Linked DNA regions of Mus musculus. Each later gene encodes a partner of the first gene's protein in a complex. Links are inferred from orthologs where the notes say so. Each region holds a gene or a part of one and is shown on either strand. Other genes may lie near its edges.

Region 1 (7,880 bases):
CCACCTCATGGTTGTTGTCTGTCTGTCTGTTGCCACTCACAGATGCCATAACGTGATAAACACTATTTCCCACACTGTGCTGGGCAGAAGACAAGTGGTACCTGTCCAGGAAGGGCACCCTGAAGGCCAAGCTCATCCCCGTAGCTAAAAACAGGAGTCCCTGGCAGAGTGAAGAGCAGCAGCTGGTAGAGTCGGAGAAGATGGTCCGGTATAAAGTCTGCGAGGAGTCCTGCTTGCGACACCTGCAGGAGGATACACCTTTGAGCATGTCCACCCTTCATCTACCACTTCCCACCTTCCCCTAAACCCACCAGCATGCTACTTACACTCCAGCTGCACCATTGGCTGCCAGTGGCATTCAAAAACCTAGTGACTAGGGATTCAGTACGCTCCCCAGTGAAAGTGGAATTTGACAGGTAGGAGCTGGTCAACAGCAGGTCGCTGGTGGATTCAAGTATGTTGACAATTTGCTGCAGGTCAGAGGACTCAGTCCCTGCAATCAAAAGCCTGCACAAAGCAAGGATAGGAGTGTGATTAGAAAATGTCAGGAGATAAAGAATAAAAGAGAAGAGTTCTCGAGACTAGGAAACTCGCCTCTCGAGGCTCTCACAATGGGCTCAGCCAGGCAGGGGTGCTGGGTACCTACCTGTCCTCACTTAAGTTCTTGGTGATATTCTGCCACTCAGCCAAGTACAAGGGTGCATTCTAGTAGAGAAAAGCAGAGTCAGAACAGGGAACACCACCTCGCCGTGGCTGAGACCCACTCTTCTCACCACAGCTTTTTGCCTCTCAATGCAGAAAGGGCACTCACCATCAGCTTTCCCACATCCCGGAATTGGAAACCATCCACACCGTCCTGCAACCAAGAACTCAGAGCTTCCTACAGGGGACAAAAGAACAGGCAAGATCAACATACAAGCAAGCCCTCACCTACCTCAAATTTCCCTGGGACCTAGAGTAAACAGGGTTCAGTCTCCCAGTGTCAAAGGTTAGCCCTTGGTGCCCCACCCATGCATTTACTGTGTAATAGCATTTGTCTATTTTCTGTCTTGCCTTTGGCAAATCACATACCTTCATTTTTAACAGCTACAGAAATGACCCAAGAGAAAACATGCACGCACAGCTCTAACACTTAACACTTAGGATGTGGGGTGAAAATGCCCTCAAATTGGAGATGAAGAAATTGGCTGAGAGAAGACGCGGCCAAGATTGTAACTGGGGAAGAGCACAGATAGGACCCTGAGGCAAATGTACTTGCTCCTCTCTTTGTTTCCTGAGGTTTAGAGTGTATGCTCTTCTACAAGAGCTGCTGGGAGCAAGGCCAAGAATGAGAAGTTTGAAATTCAAAACACAGCCTGAGGGCTGTTGAGACATCTGAAAAGAAGCCAGCTCTGTAGAACAGGCCCAGGCCTGAAGGTTTAAACCCTGGCTTCAACTGACAGCACAGAACCCAGCCCCACACTTCCTTTCTTCCCTTCTCACTTGCTCTCCCATCTTCACCTGAGGCTACCACCTGAAAGACATATCAGTAACTTTTCTTTCTGACTTCAGACCAGTCTCCAACTCACTGCATAACTGAGGCTGTGCTTAACTTCTCATCCTCCTGCCTCCCGCCAACTCTCAAGTGTAGGCTACAGGCTTTCTCTACTACTTTGAACTCTCTTATCAGTAACTTTTAACAAACTTCCTATTAAGTATAGGATCCCAGCACATGGGAGTTTAGGATTACCCTCAGCAATGGAGATCTAGAACACAAATCTCGCAGCAACTAGCAAGAGCCAAACTGGGTGATTATAGGAGTCTCCCCCACATACTTAAGAATCCAAAAGTGTCAGCACCTGCCTTTCCTTTGTTATGTCCACCCTGGACCTGCCAGTGTCCTAAAACGTAGGCATCAGAAGCTGGGATGACATTAGAAGCTTTACCCTAGCCTGGTGAGTACCAAGTTTAAGCCACTACCTCAAGGTAAAGGCAGACCAGAGAAGACTCCTTGAGACTTCCGGTTTGGAATACATGAAGTGACTGCATCTCAGTTTCTTCAGTAACAGATTGTCAGTAACAGACAATATTTTGTGGGTTTACTAAACAAATTAGAAAACAGCTATAAAATACTTGGGACAGGAGGCTAGAGAGAGAGCTCAGTGGTAATAGCTTCCGCAGAGTCAAGAGCTTGCCCCTTTTGCAGAGGAGCCAGGTTCAGTTCCCAGCACCTACGTAGCAGCAGCTCACAACTATCTGTAACTTCAGCTCCAGGGGATCCAATATCCTTTCTTGACTGTCCAATACCCTTTCTATTTTCTGTCTTGCCTCTGGAGACTCCTATAATCACCCAATTTGGCTCTTGCTAGTTGCTGGGAGATTTGTGTTCTAGATCTCCATTGCTGAGGATAACCTTAAACTCCCAAGTGCTGGGGTACCAAACATGCACATAGTGCACAAACACTCATGCATAAAAACAAATCTTAAAAAGCATTCATAGTGGAGTTAACTCTTTAAAAAATAATAAAATATGGGGGAAGATAAAATACCAGATACACAGTAAGACTCTAGTACTTATAATTTCAGACTGGGCTCAGTTCCAAATACATCAAACAAAAACTGGGAAACCAGTCAGGTCAGGGTTCCCACAGAGAAAGAAAAGACTTCCTATCACAAAAAGAAAAATTAAACTTCCAGTTCCAGACTGACATCTGAGAAATTCCCTTCCTGGCACAGCCTCACTTCTAGAGTAAAGGAAACACATACACACACACACACACACACAAAGCAGTCAGAACAGAAACAAGAAGAACACCGTGCACCTGGGCCTATCCCTCCGGCTATGGGAAGAGGTATTCCTGCTTGGGAGAACCACACAGTGCACAGGAGGCTTGCTGTGAATAAATCCACACAGCACCAACATCTGTATGCTGTCGGCCATAAAACCTCACCTTCATTTTGGTGGCTACAATGTCAGCCTGAGCAGGGAGGAACCACGCATTCTGGCCCTGGTAGTTGGGAGTGAGGTCCAAAATGATGTGAATGCCTAGAAAAATAACGAGTTGAGAGAACTCCTTTGGGGAAGAAGAGGAAACAAGGAACTTGAACACAGGTTACTAGGTGAACCTACATACGGTTTGCACAGAATCTGAAGGAAACCCACAAAAGCCCTCAGGTGGTTTTATACTAGAGCAGTTCCTCCTCCGCCCACACACACACACACACACAAGTTTCCATACTGAGGTTTTGGTTTCTTTCTTATTTTCCCCTCCCATGAAGTCAGGGTTCTGTGTATGTGGGCGGGCTGCCTGAGGATAAATAAGCCCCTACATCTCCTTCCCAAGTGTGGGGTTATAGGCACATGCTGCTTGTGTTGTGCTGAGGAATCAAACTCAGGTCTTCATGGATCCTAGACAAGCACTCTTACAAACTGAGCTACGTTGTCAGCCCTCTATAGTGAACTCTAAAGCAGCATTTGAATCTCTTCTATATATAGGATCTACTTTATACATTTAAAAGCCATTTATTTTATCGAGCCATGGTGACACACTTAAGTCTAGCACTCGGGACCAGGGGAGCTCTGTAAACTCTCATCCGGCCTGGTCATGGTAGTCAGGTACAGGCCAACCAATTACATGGTGAGACCCTACCTGAGAACCAAAACCAAAATAAATACATAAAAATTACGCTCACGCATGAAGCACATTTTTTAGTGTAAATCATAACATATTCCCCCTTGTGCCTGACACAAAAAAACTGAGCCAGTTAGGAGAAAAATCAGACAAAAACTCTATCCTGTTTCTGGGCCAGAATGCCAAACCCTTTCTAGTTCCTTAGAAAGACCTACTCTTTTTCTTGGCACTTTGTAGAAGGTCTTTAAAATCTTCCTGGGAGCCCAAAGTGGGATTAATCTGTTTCAGGTCGGTTTCATTGATTTCATCCTTCTGGTTCTTGTGAATTGGGCCTAACACCAGGCCCTTCACCTTCAGGGTGCTCAAGTACTCCAGATGGCTCTTCAGACCTAGGAGGAGAGGGTTGGGTTAACCAATAGGGCATGAAAAGCCTCCAGCCTCCACATTCTCTCCACCACTTCCCGACTCCCTCTGACGCGGGTTGGATCATGAGACAAAGTAGCTGACGCAAGGAGTCTCACACATTACTTCAGAAACTGGTTTGAACTGGCTCAGGGCCGCGTGGTTGGGGGAGGGGAGAGGAGAAAGATGATGTGCTGAGTCAGGCACCCTTAGGAAGAAGTAGGGGTCCGGCTAGCGTTTTTTTTTTTTTTTTTTTAAAGAAAGGGGGGGGGATTTTTGCCAGGGAGTCGTCCCAAAAAAAATAGGTTGCAGTAAAGAATCACCAGCGTTCTAGAGAAGACGAGGAGGAAGGAAAAAAGCAGCAGAATGCCCGATTAAACGAGGGATTCATGGGGGCAAGGGATGAGGGTGCACACCCTACTCACCAGCTATGCCTCCCGCATCCCGGCCTACAAAGGCCTGAAGGTCGCCGATGCGGTAGAGGGCGCCCTTGTGCCACCACCTCTGTACAGGCAGCTCACGGCAGCGCGGCGCCCGAACGATGATAACCACGGCGCCCGCCAGCATGCCCAGCCAACCGAGCCAGAAGAGCAGCAGCAGCGCCCAGCGGGTGCGCACCCAGCCAGGGCTGCCCGCTACCTTCAGTAGCTCCTCCTTGGATAAGCCGGTGAACTTGACCCCGGCCTCCGTCTCGTCCTCCGCCACCTTGATCTTCACCAGACCGTTCTTCTCCCCGGCCGCCGCCCCGTCCGCTGCATTCATGGGCTGCTTCTCCGGTTCTAGCTCGTTCAGCTCCACATCTTTCATGTCCACTTCGGTGTCCTGGCTCATGGTGCCTGCAGAAACGGTGACACGACACGGCCTGTAGTCAGTGAGGCAGCTCTAATCCTGCCTGGATCCCCGTTCAGAGAGGCGTCCCGTGGCCGTGAGGCTAGCAGAGCTTCCTAACTGCTTCTGCCGCTGGGCGGGTGTGGCGGCGGGGAAGTGACCCAGGACTCCGCCCCGGTCCGCCTCTTAAAGAGATGCAGAGAAGTCTTTTCGCACCTCCAGCCTCGCTGAATACTCCCGTCTATCCCTAACGCTTATTCCTGCAAGAGTCTGGGAAGGGGAGCTTGTGGTCAGAAACCCTTAGAATAACAAACGTGAATTTGTCTTGACCAGGTTTCAAAGCCCCTCCTCCGACCTTCCGGCCCCTTACCCTGCGAGGCCTCTTTTCTCTCCACAAGATGACACCAGTCTCCATCCACATCGTGATCCCTTCGCCCCAAGCACGGCTCAGGCTGATCTCCCCAACTTCACACAGACCTTGGCACTACATCTCACTTCTGCTTTACGTACATCTTCTCATACTCCGGACTTAGCTGAGTTCCTGGATTCTCCTCGGGGCTTACACGTACTCACCTTTCAAGACTCCTTGAATTTAATTCCTCAGGCAGCAACTATTTACTGGGCACCCACTCCAATCCTTTGCTTCATCAACTGCATAGGATCAACTCTAATCCGTTCTTCTTGATTTTAAAATTCAACTGCAGAATTGAAGTGGTCACTACCCTTATTATCTTACCCTAGTTACTAGCAAGAATGTTGGATTACTGGGAATCAGGCATCCAGAAGAGATTAATGGGGCTGTAATAAACATTCCGAAGGTATTGAGGCACCTACCCTTTTAATATACAAGCTGTTCTAACTCTTTTTTTCTTTTTTTTTTAACTATTTACTATTTTTTAACTATTTACTCACTTATTATATGTGACTACACTGTAGCTGTCTTCAGATGCACCAGAAGAACTATTTACTCACTTATTATATGTGACTACACTGTAGCTGTCTTCAGATGTACCAGAAGAGGGCGTCAGAACTCGTTACAGATGGTTGTGAGCCACCATGTGGTTCCTGGGAATTGAACTCGGGACCTTTGAAAGAGCAGTGAGTGCTCTTAACTGCTGAGCCATCTCTCCAGCCCCTGTTCTAACTCTTAACCACCTTGCAATAACTCTCAAACCCTCTAGTGTGCCGGGCTACATCAGTTGACTATGCTAGGCCCTGGAACCAGCTTAGTTCCCTCACACTTTGAAAGTTTCTCAAATTCCCCCGGCAGAGGTCCTTGGCAAGAGGAAGGGTAAATGGGGCAGACTGGGTTAGCAGCAGGGACAAGTGAAAAGTGAACATCAACTCTAGGAGGTGCCAACAATTTCAGGAACTTTGTGTTCCAATTAGGTTATTTTCAGAGAGAATCGGAAGGAAACAACAGGTCCTTTCTCCCTCTCCCCACGTAGGCCGGCAGCCAAGATTGCTATGTATTTGGAAGAAAGCAGAAGCCAAGGCCAGAACAGTAGAGAGGAAGGGATATGAAAAGTCTCATCACCTGCCACTGTCCTTTTGAATTCCCAAAGTCCTCCCCGGCCTCACTAGAGAAAAGTCTATACACCAGCTCCTAGGAAGAGGGAAGAGGCTAAGGGTCATGCTAGTGTTCATAGTTGATAAGAGTCCTACCTTGCCCTGGGCATGACAGATAAGAAAAGTCCAATGCAGAGTTTATACACAGCGTGAAAGCTCAAGGTTTGTGGACTGTGAAGCAGAAGCACTCCTTGAAAGGGTTTGATGAAATGCTCATTAGAAACATGGTGTTTCAATCAACCAAACTGAAAACAAGATGGATCAAACCAACCAGATGTTCATCTGGAGCCGGGCGTGGTGGCGCACACCTTTGATCCCAGCACTCGGGAGGCAGAGGCAGGTGGATCTCTGAGTTCGAGGCCAGCCTGGTCTACAGAGTGAGTTCCAGGACAGCCATGGCTACACAGAGAAACCCTGTCTCAAAAAACCAAACCAAAGGGCTGGTGAGATGGCTCAGTGGGTAAGAGCACCCTACTGCTCTTCTGAAGGTCCGGAGTTCAAATCCCAGCAACCACATGGTGGCTCACAACCATCCATTAACGAGAGCGTCTGAAGACAGCTACAGTGTACTTACATATAATGAATAAATAAATCTTTAAAAAAAAAAAGACCAAAAAGAGAAAAAAGATGTTCCTCTGGTGAAGGTGCCTAGCCAGCAAACCTGAGCTCACTCCTCAGTGATCAGTGAAGATCAGTGAAAGGAGAACTGATTCCCAGGAGCTGTCTTCTGCCCTCCACACATGCGCACTGCCCTCCACACATGCGCACTGCCCTCCACAAAGTAAGTAAAATTTAAGGTAACACAGTATCTCCCCGCCCCCACCTCCAAGTGGCAGAAATCTATTCCTAAGCATCTTAGAGAGGAGACGTGAGCTCCCATCAGTCTTTTCAGCAGCACCCTTCCTAATCACTACTGTTCAGCCACAGCAGCTTTCTAGCACCTGCCAGAGTCACGACACACAGGGTGTTTCCATTCTTAATGCCTCCTGTGCATGCTGTCCTGCTGTTTGGATCTTCCTGCTAAGTTACTCTTCCTCCTTCAAGCTCTGACTCAAGTGACAGCATCTCTCAATGCTCTACGTAGATTGCTTTCCCTTACCAGGGATAGAACACAATAACTAACACAGTTGACTATATAAACTTAAAGGACTGACGATGCAGTTCAGAAGACCGGTGCTTTCCTACCATGTGCAAGGCCCAGGGTTCAATCTGCAACACCAAAGCAGTGAAGGATGAAGGACTGGGGGTGGAGCTCAGCCAGTGCTTGCTTAGCATTTGAAAGCCCTGAGTTCTATCCTTAGCACCACATAAACCAGGCACAGAGGAGGCACAGGCCTAAAACCCCAGGAAGTGGAGGCATGAAAAGTTCAAAGTAGGGGCTGGTGAGATGGCTCAGTGGGTAAGAGCACCCGACTGCTCTTCCGAAGGTCAGGAGTTCAAATCCCAGCAACCACATGGTGGCTCACAACC
Region 2 (8,007 bases), on another chromosome or scaffold:
TGACACTAACACTAAGTATCCTTATGGGGACCTTTCCCCTCAGCTCAGGTCTCATTCTGATGAGCTGCATTTGGAAAAATAATTATGTTTTATTAATCATTGGCCACACCTAAATTATACAGCCACGTTTATACACATGGGGCTGTTACCTTTAGCATAGCATGTTAGCTAGCATTGCATATCACATGTGGGATTCTTTTAAGGAACTGAGGACATTCCTTGAAAAATTTATTCACAATCCCTAAAATGCTCAAAATAAGGCAGAAAGCAGGAGGAAGACAGTAAGTGTATTTGCTCTATGACATACATATACTTGAAGACCAACCAATTCTTTGATTATAAGGTTAACACTGGTGATTATAAAGGCATGTTAACATTAAAGGTAATTCAATATTTTCTTTGAAACCTGTAATTTTTATTTTTGTAAAATTGTAGGTGTTTCAGAGAGATATACAAAGGTTTTTTATTAACTGTGTGCAGTTTTGAAGAAAGTTGGAATCTCAGTCTCATACAGGATAGTACCACCTTCTTGGCTATTAGTATAATTTTAGAATATTTTTCTCCATAAATTCCTATAAAAATTACTGAGGAGGAGAATGTTATTTAGAATTGGAAGAACATTTTTTCTCTCCTTTAAACTGTTTCCAACATCCTGTCTTAATAGCCCCCAGTCTTACTAGTCCAACCATTTATAATTTAGTGGTCAAAGCCTGGTGCCATGGCCAGGACAGAGCACTGGTGCCTGGGGTCTTCATGCTTCACTTTAAACTTTTATCTCTTTGGAATTATTGTTCCCTTTTGAGGAAACAAAAGCTTCCTGCGCCCTGTCTATGCTCATTCATCTGGAGAATTATGTGAGTGGAAGTTCACTCAAGAACAGGAGACATGGAACAGAGAAGGGAGAGTCCCTCATGCTCATTAATCAGGAGAATTATGTGAGAGGACATTTGAGCAAGAACAGGAGAGATGGAACAGGGCGGGCAGGCGGTGGAGAAGTCCTCCGATTTCCTGTTGAGGAATCTGTACAGGATTGAGTAAGGAACTTTCCCCATTTATTATTTTTTTGGAATAAAAACGCTGAAAAAAAGTATTAATTTGGGCTTTATAAAAATGATAATTTGTAGATCCAAAGCAAATTACACAGAAGGTGGGTAGGTCATGTAAAAGGGAAGTCATGTGACCTCGGTTATTCGTGTGATAAGGCAATTATGTCATGGCATTTTCTCAGATAAGGACCTAGCAGAAAGGCTCTGACATTTTCCACGATTCCTTTCCAGGTTATTTCCTGCCTCCATCATCCCCCCCATCCTTCACCCCTTCCCCTTACCCCTTTCCCCTCCCCCTCCAGCCAACCTTGCTTCCACGGAGATTTTCTGTTGGTTGTTTTTATTCCGAGATTCAAAAGCATATTTAATCATGGGTCTGAACACAGCTTCAGGATAATGATGGCATTGGGATTCTTCTCATTAAATTCAAACCACAGGGACCTGGTGCCGAGACTGATAGCTGAGATGCTTTATTTTCTTTTGGTAATTTTTTATTTTTATTTTTATTTTACACATAAGACACTTGATTAGAAGCAAAACGTTTCAAGTTTGTGTTTAATTTTTTAAAAAAAAAGAAATTTTTTCAATGTAAATATTTTAACCCCACTTTGAAGTTTTAATGTACTTTTATATGTTTAAATTTCTTTTTAACTGACAAAGATGAAAGCTGTGTATGTGAATAGGGTGTAAAGTTTCAGCACATGTGCCCATTGTAGAATGCTCAGAGTAAACACTTCTATCTCCTTAAGATGTCATTATTTCTTTATGTAAAAAACACATTCTTTTAGCTTTCTGAAATGGACTTGTACACTCTGTTACAGTCACCGAAAATTTCCGGCTTTGAGCTAACTAAAAGTTAGTACCTGTTGATTGTAATACATTTCAAATTATAATCAGAATAGCTTATAGATCCAAAAAATATGCCCTGTCATCTCCTTCCTTTCTCCAACTATTATAATGGGACTCCCTTCTCAAGCTCTTGCTCTGTGCGTGTCTTCATGCAATTATAAGTATTGCCTAAGATTCAAAGAGGAGTCTTTTTAATTCGATGGAGCAACATGCAAATGAAGACCGAGTCCTTCTACCTAGTTCAGGAAATCACGCTGTGCTGACAAGAATCAGAAAAAGACTGTTTTCTGCAGTCACTATGATCTTTCAACTTCTCAAACTTAGGTGGTGATCTTAAACACCCTTGTATTACAGGTCTTAAGAAATAATTGTGTCTGTTCATGCGGAGCTGTATGTAGCCACGGCTCTCGTGTGCAGAAACTTTCTGACTTTGTAAATATTAGATTTGACAGTGTTGCTAGGAAACACCCGGGGAAGTAAGGAGAATACAAATTATGAAGTATAAACTTTGCTGTTGCAAACAGAGCAGCCCTAAGGCACTTTCCATTGTCAAAACAGCTGTGAATACAACATTTTTTATGCGCGCCTTAAAGTTAAGAAGCAACTCCTTAAAACGAAGTAATTGTTTTCTGTTTCATTTTCCAACTTCTTTTCTCTCTCTGAGAGCGGAGCTGCTTAAAGTCACCGGGACAGTGTCTATTCCCTGGTTCCCTGTTTACTTCTTCTGGATTGGCTAAGCCCCTCTTTAAGAGTATGCTTTGTTCTGGGAAATGCTTTGGATCCATTGAGCAACCCACAGGCTACTGTTAAAAAAAAAAAAAAAAAAAAAGAGCTGAGTAATGTTGGCGCTTTCTCAAGCTGGAGTTTTCTCATGTGGCTGATGCAAACCTGGAGAATTTGCATCATCATGCAGCCCAGTAAGTTGGTGTGACAGGCGGTTGCTTAAATACGGAGCCTTCCACGAGGAAGCTGAGCTGGTGTGTAATGATAGGGCAGCAGCCGCGGCTGCAGCTAACTGACTGCCCCTGGAGCCGGTGCCACACAGGTGCTCCGAGGAGCAAGAGGAGTAATTATAGAGCCAGCGAAGGCTGAAACACACCTCTGAGTTCTCACCTGTGGACACAATAGTGTAGAGCCAGTCGGTGATAGCAAAGGGGAAGTCACGACCGAACAGTGATCAGTCACTTCTTAGAGAAACAAGTTAAAAGGGTTTGTTTTGTTTTGTTTTATTTTGTCTTGTTTTGTTTTTCCCCCTCTGTTTTCTTTTTCATCCCCCTCCTCTGGTGTGACACTGCCATGGTCAGAAAGCCAGTTGTGGCCACCATCTCCAAAGGAGGTTACCTGCAGGGCAATATGAGCGGGAGGCTGCCCTCCATGGGGGACCAAGAGCCACCTGGGCAGGAGAAGGTAGTTCTGAAAAAGAAGATCACTTTGCTGAGGGGGGTCTCCATCATCATCGGCACCGTCATCGGATCAGGCATCTTCATCTCCCCCAAGGGCATACTCCAGAACACGGGCAGCGTGGGCATGTCCCTGGTTTTCTGGTCTGCCTGTGGAGTACTGTCACTTTTTGGTGAGTGCGCTTCTTCTCTGGGGTGTGAGTGTGTGTAGCTGTGTGGCTCTCTGGGAGAGCGAAGGGTTATTTCTGAGGAGTAAATGAATGGGCAAATACTACAGGAAATATTTGGAATTTTTGTTGTTGTTGTTGTTCAGGTATGTGCACTACCCAAACACACTGTCCACTGTTGGCACAAGACTGAACCCTCTCAGATTCCTTCCTGCAGGCTATACTCTGCTTTCCTGCCTGAGACAGACTCTGGCAGCTTTTTTTTTTTTTTTTTCTGGTTTGCTGAGAGAAGGAAAAAAAAAAAAAAAAACAAAAAACAAAAAAACAAAAAACAAAAAAAACCTAACTTTGATGACCCAAAAAACCAAGCCTTCCTTCCGTGCAGAGGGCTTGGGTTTGTGAGTCTTGTTTAGAGCATAGTTCTGGCAGCTGGCTCGCTGGAAGAAACACCTGTGCGGTGCAGCCAGTGTGGCCTATTTACACGCGGAACTGAACGTTCGGAACACTGTCACGGGCCTTTTACTTGCTAAACAAATGGGTGGCATTCTCTGCCTTTTTTAATATTTTAAATTCGTAGGCTTGTCCGTTTCTAATACTATGCTTTCAGAAGTCCTTGGGAAGATATGTGTTTGATGTGTCTCCTCCGTCTCCATAAATGGGGCAAAGGTTTCAACTTTTTTCCCCTTGTTTTTTTTTTTTTTCTTTTTCCTTCTTACTGCCTTTAAGGACATTTCTCATAATTTCTCGTTATTTGTTTGCAAGCTTCACTTGGGTGTCAGTCTTCCCTCCTTGCCTGGATCTGTTTTCTTCATCTGTATTTTACTAGGTCTCTGGGGAAACAGATACTTTCTCTGCCCATTCAATGAAGTTCATCTAACCTGAACTGGTATTACTGTGCTTATTATTTTTTTCTCTTTAAAATGTACGTTTCTCTGATGGGATTGAGGGTTAATATTGCAAAGGAAATAATTGCTCCTTGATCAGGAGGGCAAATCAACATAAAACTCCTTTCAAGTTCATTGTAAAGGCCACAAGAACCTGGGAATGGCCAATTATTTTAAAATTTGACTTATATTACCAGGCAATACTTTGGTTCCAAAGTAGCCTACACTTGGGAGTTACTTTGTTAACCTGGAACCAAGTTCTTCTGGGACCAAGTGCAAACTCTTGTTCCATTCCTTCTTTCATTCCAGGTCTTGTGATACTTTAAATACTGATTGAGGGAAAGTTTCCTGCCTAGAGAACTCACATATCTGTTTTTAGGAAGGGGGCATTTCAAATAATCTTGAAAGCAGTCTTGCTATAGAAAGATCTATGAAGAGATTACTTTACGAACCTAGAGAACTTGGGAACATCATTTGTGTGAATAGATTATGCTTTATGAGATGTTTGGTGACAGCTGTCCCTTTTCTTCATTCTTTACAGTTATTAAAAACTCGAACAGAATCCTTATCATTATTAATATTAAAGTGGTTCTGACATATGCAGGTTCAGATAAGCAAGGAGAAACTCAATTGTTGATCTTAAATGACTGTGTACCCTCAGGCTTCAAGCGTCTTACAGTACTTGATATATTTAGAATAAATCAATATCTAATCAGAAAAACTACAACCAGTTCCTTGAACTTTGCATACTTGTACACAGGCAGCTCCCACTGTGTGATTTGATTTTCGCACACAATCAATGCTTATTCAGATGCTGTAAAATAAAATGCTCGGAATGCTGAGCTAGTTAAAGGCACACTGACTTGTATGGTGATAATGTGCTTATGAATAAGTCCGCCATCTTTGTTGGAAGCTCAAGAAACTACAGAGCTAAAGGGTTGTGATGTAGCTTGGAGTGGGCGTTTGACTGCCCGCTTCAGAGACGTTACTGCTACTTAAATTACTGGCAGCTTTTTGTCACAAAGTCTTCACAAATAAGAAGCAAAGCGAGATATAAGGGGAAAATTCTTCTTTTATTAAAACTCTAGAACTTAGGGGTGTAAACATTTTCAAGTCAAGAATGTGGACCTAGATGGTCCCCAACTTAAGATGGTTCAGTATATGATATATTTATTTTTAAATTTCCAGTGGTAGATGCTAGTAATTGGTTATTCAATAAATTACTTGAGCTGTCTTAAACCGTTATAAAATGAACTTTTATAGGATAATGTTGTCTAGCTCCAGACAACTGTGTAGGATGGTTCCTAGGCTATGTGTGGTACATACAGTTCCCACTGACTGGCATTTAGAATGTAACATGTTTTGGCAAAGTTACCCCTCTGGAAGGGGAGGAGCATCTGTGTTTGGTTTTACAACATTTTGAGCACCAAGGTCAACACGTGGACTTTTATAGCCTGCTTTGAACTTCTTTCCATCTGGGCACATAGCTATGGAGCTTGAGACCTTTAAATGAAAATTCCATTCCCCCGGAACTCAATTTAAACCTAGGGCAAAGCATACAGAGGTCTGGCCATTGATTCCCTGACAGTAAATTTCAAGGTCTTTAAGAGTCTTTCCAATAACAAGGTTATATAGGTTGCTTTTCTGGACAATCTACCAACATGGTGACCATTATTTCCAAAAGAAGTTTGCTAATTGTCTTTAGGTCTAAGTTAATGAAGTACTTAAGTAGCTGTCCGTGACGCCACCACTTTAGCACCTGGAGCATTGGAAAGCAATACAACTTCTTGGATTGTTCTTTTGGATGGAGTCTGGTCTCCGAAGATGAGTCTAGGGTGTGGTCTTCGTGTCTTTTCTCATTTGTTCACTCTTAAAAAATATCCTCCAGGTGACCCTGGCAAATTTTTCAAATCCTAGTTATTTTGAGCATCTATAGGAGGCACTACTGATGAGCAATTACTTTCCACACATGGAGCCCCTTTAGGTGCTTGGGCATAAATGTTTGAGCGCTAAGCCATGTAGACACAGGTGTTTGATTGTTTGGTTGATTGATTAATTGACTTTTGGATGAAATTAAGATTTATTTTTTATGTCCTTCCTAACTATGAAGCAGTTGGTAAGTAAAGTAACATCATGTGGTGTGTTAGCTGTGTCAGTCAATCCTATCTGTGTGCCACTTTCCCACCGTTACATCCAGAATGCTTTTATGAGATGAAAAATTCATGTTTTCACTTCAAAGGGTGCGAAACTTAGGGCCTGGGGAATTTAAATATAACTTTCCCAATCTTATACGAGTGTTATTTTTTTTTAAACACTCACATCTTAGTTTATAATTTATTTTCATTACATAAATGACTGTACATAATGGAATTTCTATTTTACAACAGTCATTCTTTTAACCGTCTGGGTGTACATCTCAAAAGCATCATCCAGGATAACCATTTCTAGGAACAGTACAACTGAGTCAAGATTCGTTTTGCTGACAAAGCATATTGTATCAATTAGCTGAAATCTCACACGGCATGTACTCTCTTCTTTCCCAAAGAACGGATCATCTATATTTTGATATGCCACAGAATTATTAAAATACCATAGTGAGTCCAGTTTGAGGGAATACTTTGTCTTAGTATGAGGTGGTGGTGTTACTCAAATAATAGGTCAGCATCATTGACATCTGCCTTTACTTTTCCTTTATCCTCTGGTTTCTGACCACACATTCTGTATCATGTTTGTAGGTACCATTTCAAACACAATTCCTTTCCTTACATTTTTTTTTCAGTTCATTTTCTTGGTTTTTATGTGTGTGGGTGTTTTGCTTCTGCACATGCCTGGTGCTCAAGGAGGCCAGGGGAGGACCTTGGATCCCCTGGAACTGGAGACACAGATGGTTGTGAGTCCCCAGGTGGATGCTGGGAATTGAGTTTGGGTCTTCTGGATGAGAGGCCCGTGCTCTTAACTGCTGAGCTATCTTTCCAGTCTTTGGCTTTTCTGTTTTATTAGTAGGAGGCAGGTCTCAAGTGTGAGGAAGTTAAAAGAGGAACTTGGTGGGTCTCAGTTAGAAGATGACAACTGTTCCCATGAAGGTCATTCTAGGCACAGAGCATGCAACCCAGACAATGATGTGTGTATTCTATCACAAGACTACTCAATGCTATGTCAATTTTGTGTCTTTTTATTATCACCTTTCATAGGAGCCCTGTCCTATGCAGAATTAGGTACAAGCATAAAGAAATCTGGTGGTCATTACACATACATTCTGGAGGTCTTTGGTCCTTTGCTGGCTTTTGTTCGAGTCTGGGTGGAACTGCTCGTAATACGGTAAGGAGATGGAAACAATTAAGGGAAAATCCACCTATTCATCTCATCACTTTCCTGGATCCTCTTGACTGCTTGAACTAATTACAGATGTGTGTCATGTGACTTAGTTGAACAAATACAGACCCTAAGGCATAAAAAAAGTTTTCTTTAAATTCCAACTTTTGTTTATAAATATTTATGTTTTTCTAGAAAAGGCATTTATCTGAGATGAGGGGAATCTTCAAAATTCACTTTGATAAATTATACCTTGGGCTGAGCAGACACTATATAATGTGCTAGGAATTACAGGGTTATTTTTTTTTATTGTTGATTATGTCATCAGGACATTTAACTTTACTTTTAT

Evidence for each region. The genes of interacting proteins can lie anywhere in the genome.
Region 2: the proteins of Slc3a2 (region 1) and Slc7a11 are in contact, whole or in part, in a cryo-EM structure (PDB 7P9V), measured with the Homo sapiens proteins. The link is inferred for Mus musculus from reciprocal best matches to the Homo sapiens genes SLC3A2 and SLC7A11. Residues at the interface, in NP_002385.3 of Homo sapiens: Glu167, Leu170, Ala173, Trp178, Thr181, Arg182, Phe189, Trp190, Trp193, Met196, Leu197, Gly199, Ala200, Ile203, Ile204, Ala207, Arg209, Cys210, Glu212, Leu213, Lys299, Arg534, Gln559; in NP_055146.1 of Homo sapiens: Leu151, Phe154, Phe155, Ile156, Gln157, Cys158, Glu159, Pro161, Leu163, Ala164, Leu167, Ile168, Ala170, Val171, Thr174, Val175, Val178, Gln217, Gln219, Val360, His373, Thr487, Gln489, Ile490, Ile491, Glu493, Val494, Val495.

The regions. Positions count from the first base shown.
Region 1 is NC_000085.6:8,708,904-8,716,783, forward strand, and holds the start of Slc3a2 (4F2 cell-surface antigen heavy chain), read right to left. Parts: upstream 4,995-7,880; 5' UTR 4,850-4,994; coding exon of another isoform or gene 4,845-4,849; coding exon 4,439-4,844; intron 4,001-4,438; coding exon 3,827-4,000; intron 3,026-3,826; coding exon 2,931-3,025; intron 1,393-2,930; exon of another isoform or gene 1,078-1,392; coding exon of another isoform or gene 1,072-1,077; intron 881-1,071; coding exon 812-880; intron 706-811; coding exon 647-705; intron 508-646; coding exon 327-507; intron 243-326; coding exon 102-242; intron 1-101. UniProt on the Homo sapiens protein: Acts as a chaperone that facilitates biogenesis and trafficking of functional transporters heterodimers to the plasma membrane.
Region 2 is NC_000069.6:50,438,446-50,446,452, reverse strand, and holds the start of Slc7a11 (cystine/glutamate transporter), read left to right. Parts: upstream 1-2,839; 5' UTR 2,840-3,191; coding exon 3,192-3,468; intron 3,469-7,537; coding exon 7,538-7,664; intron 7,665-8,007. UniProt on the Homo sapiens protein: Heterodimer with SLC3A2, that functions as an antiporter by mediating the exchange of extracellular anionic L-cystine and intracellular L-glutamate across the cellular plasma membrane.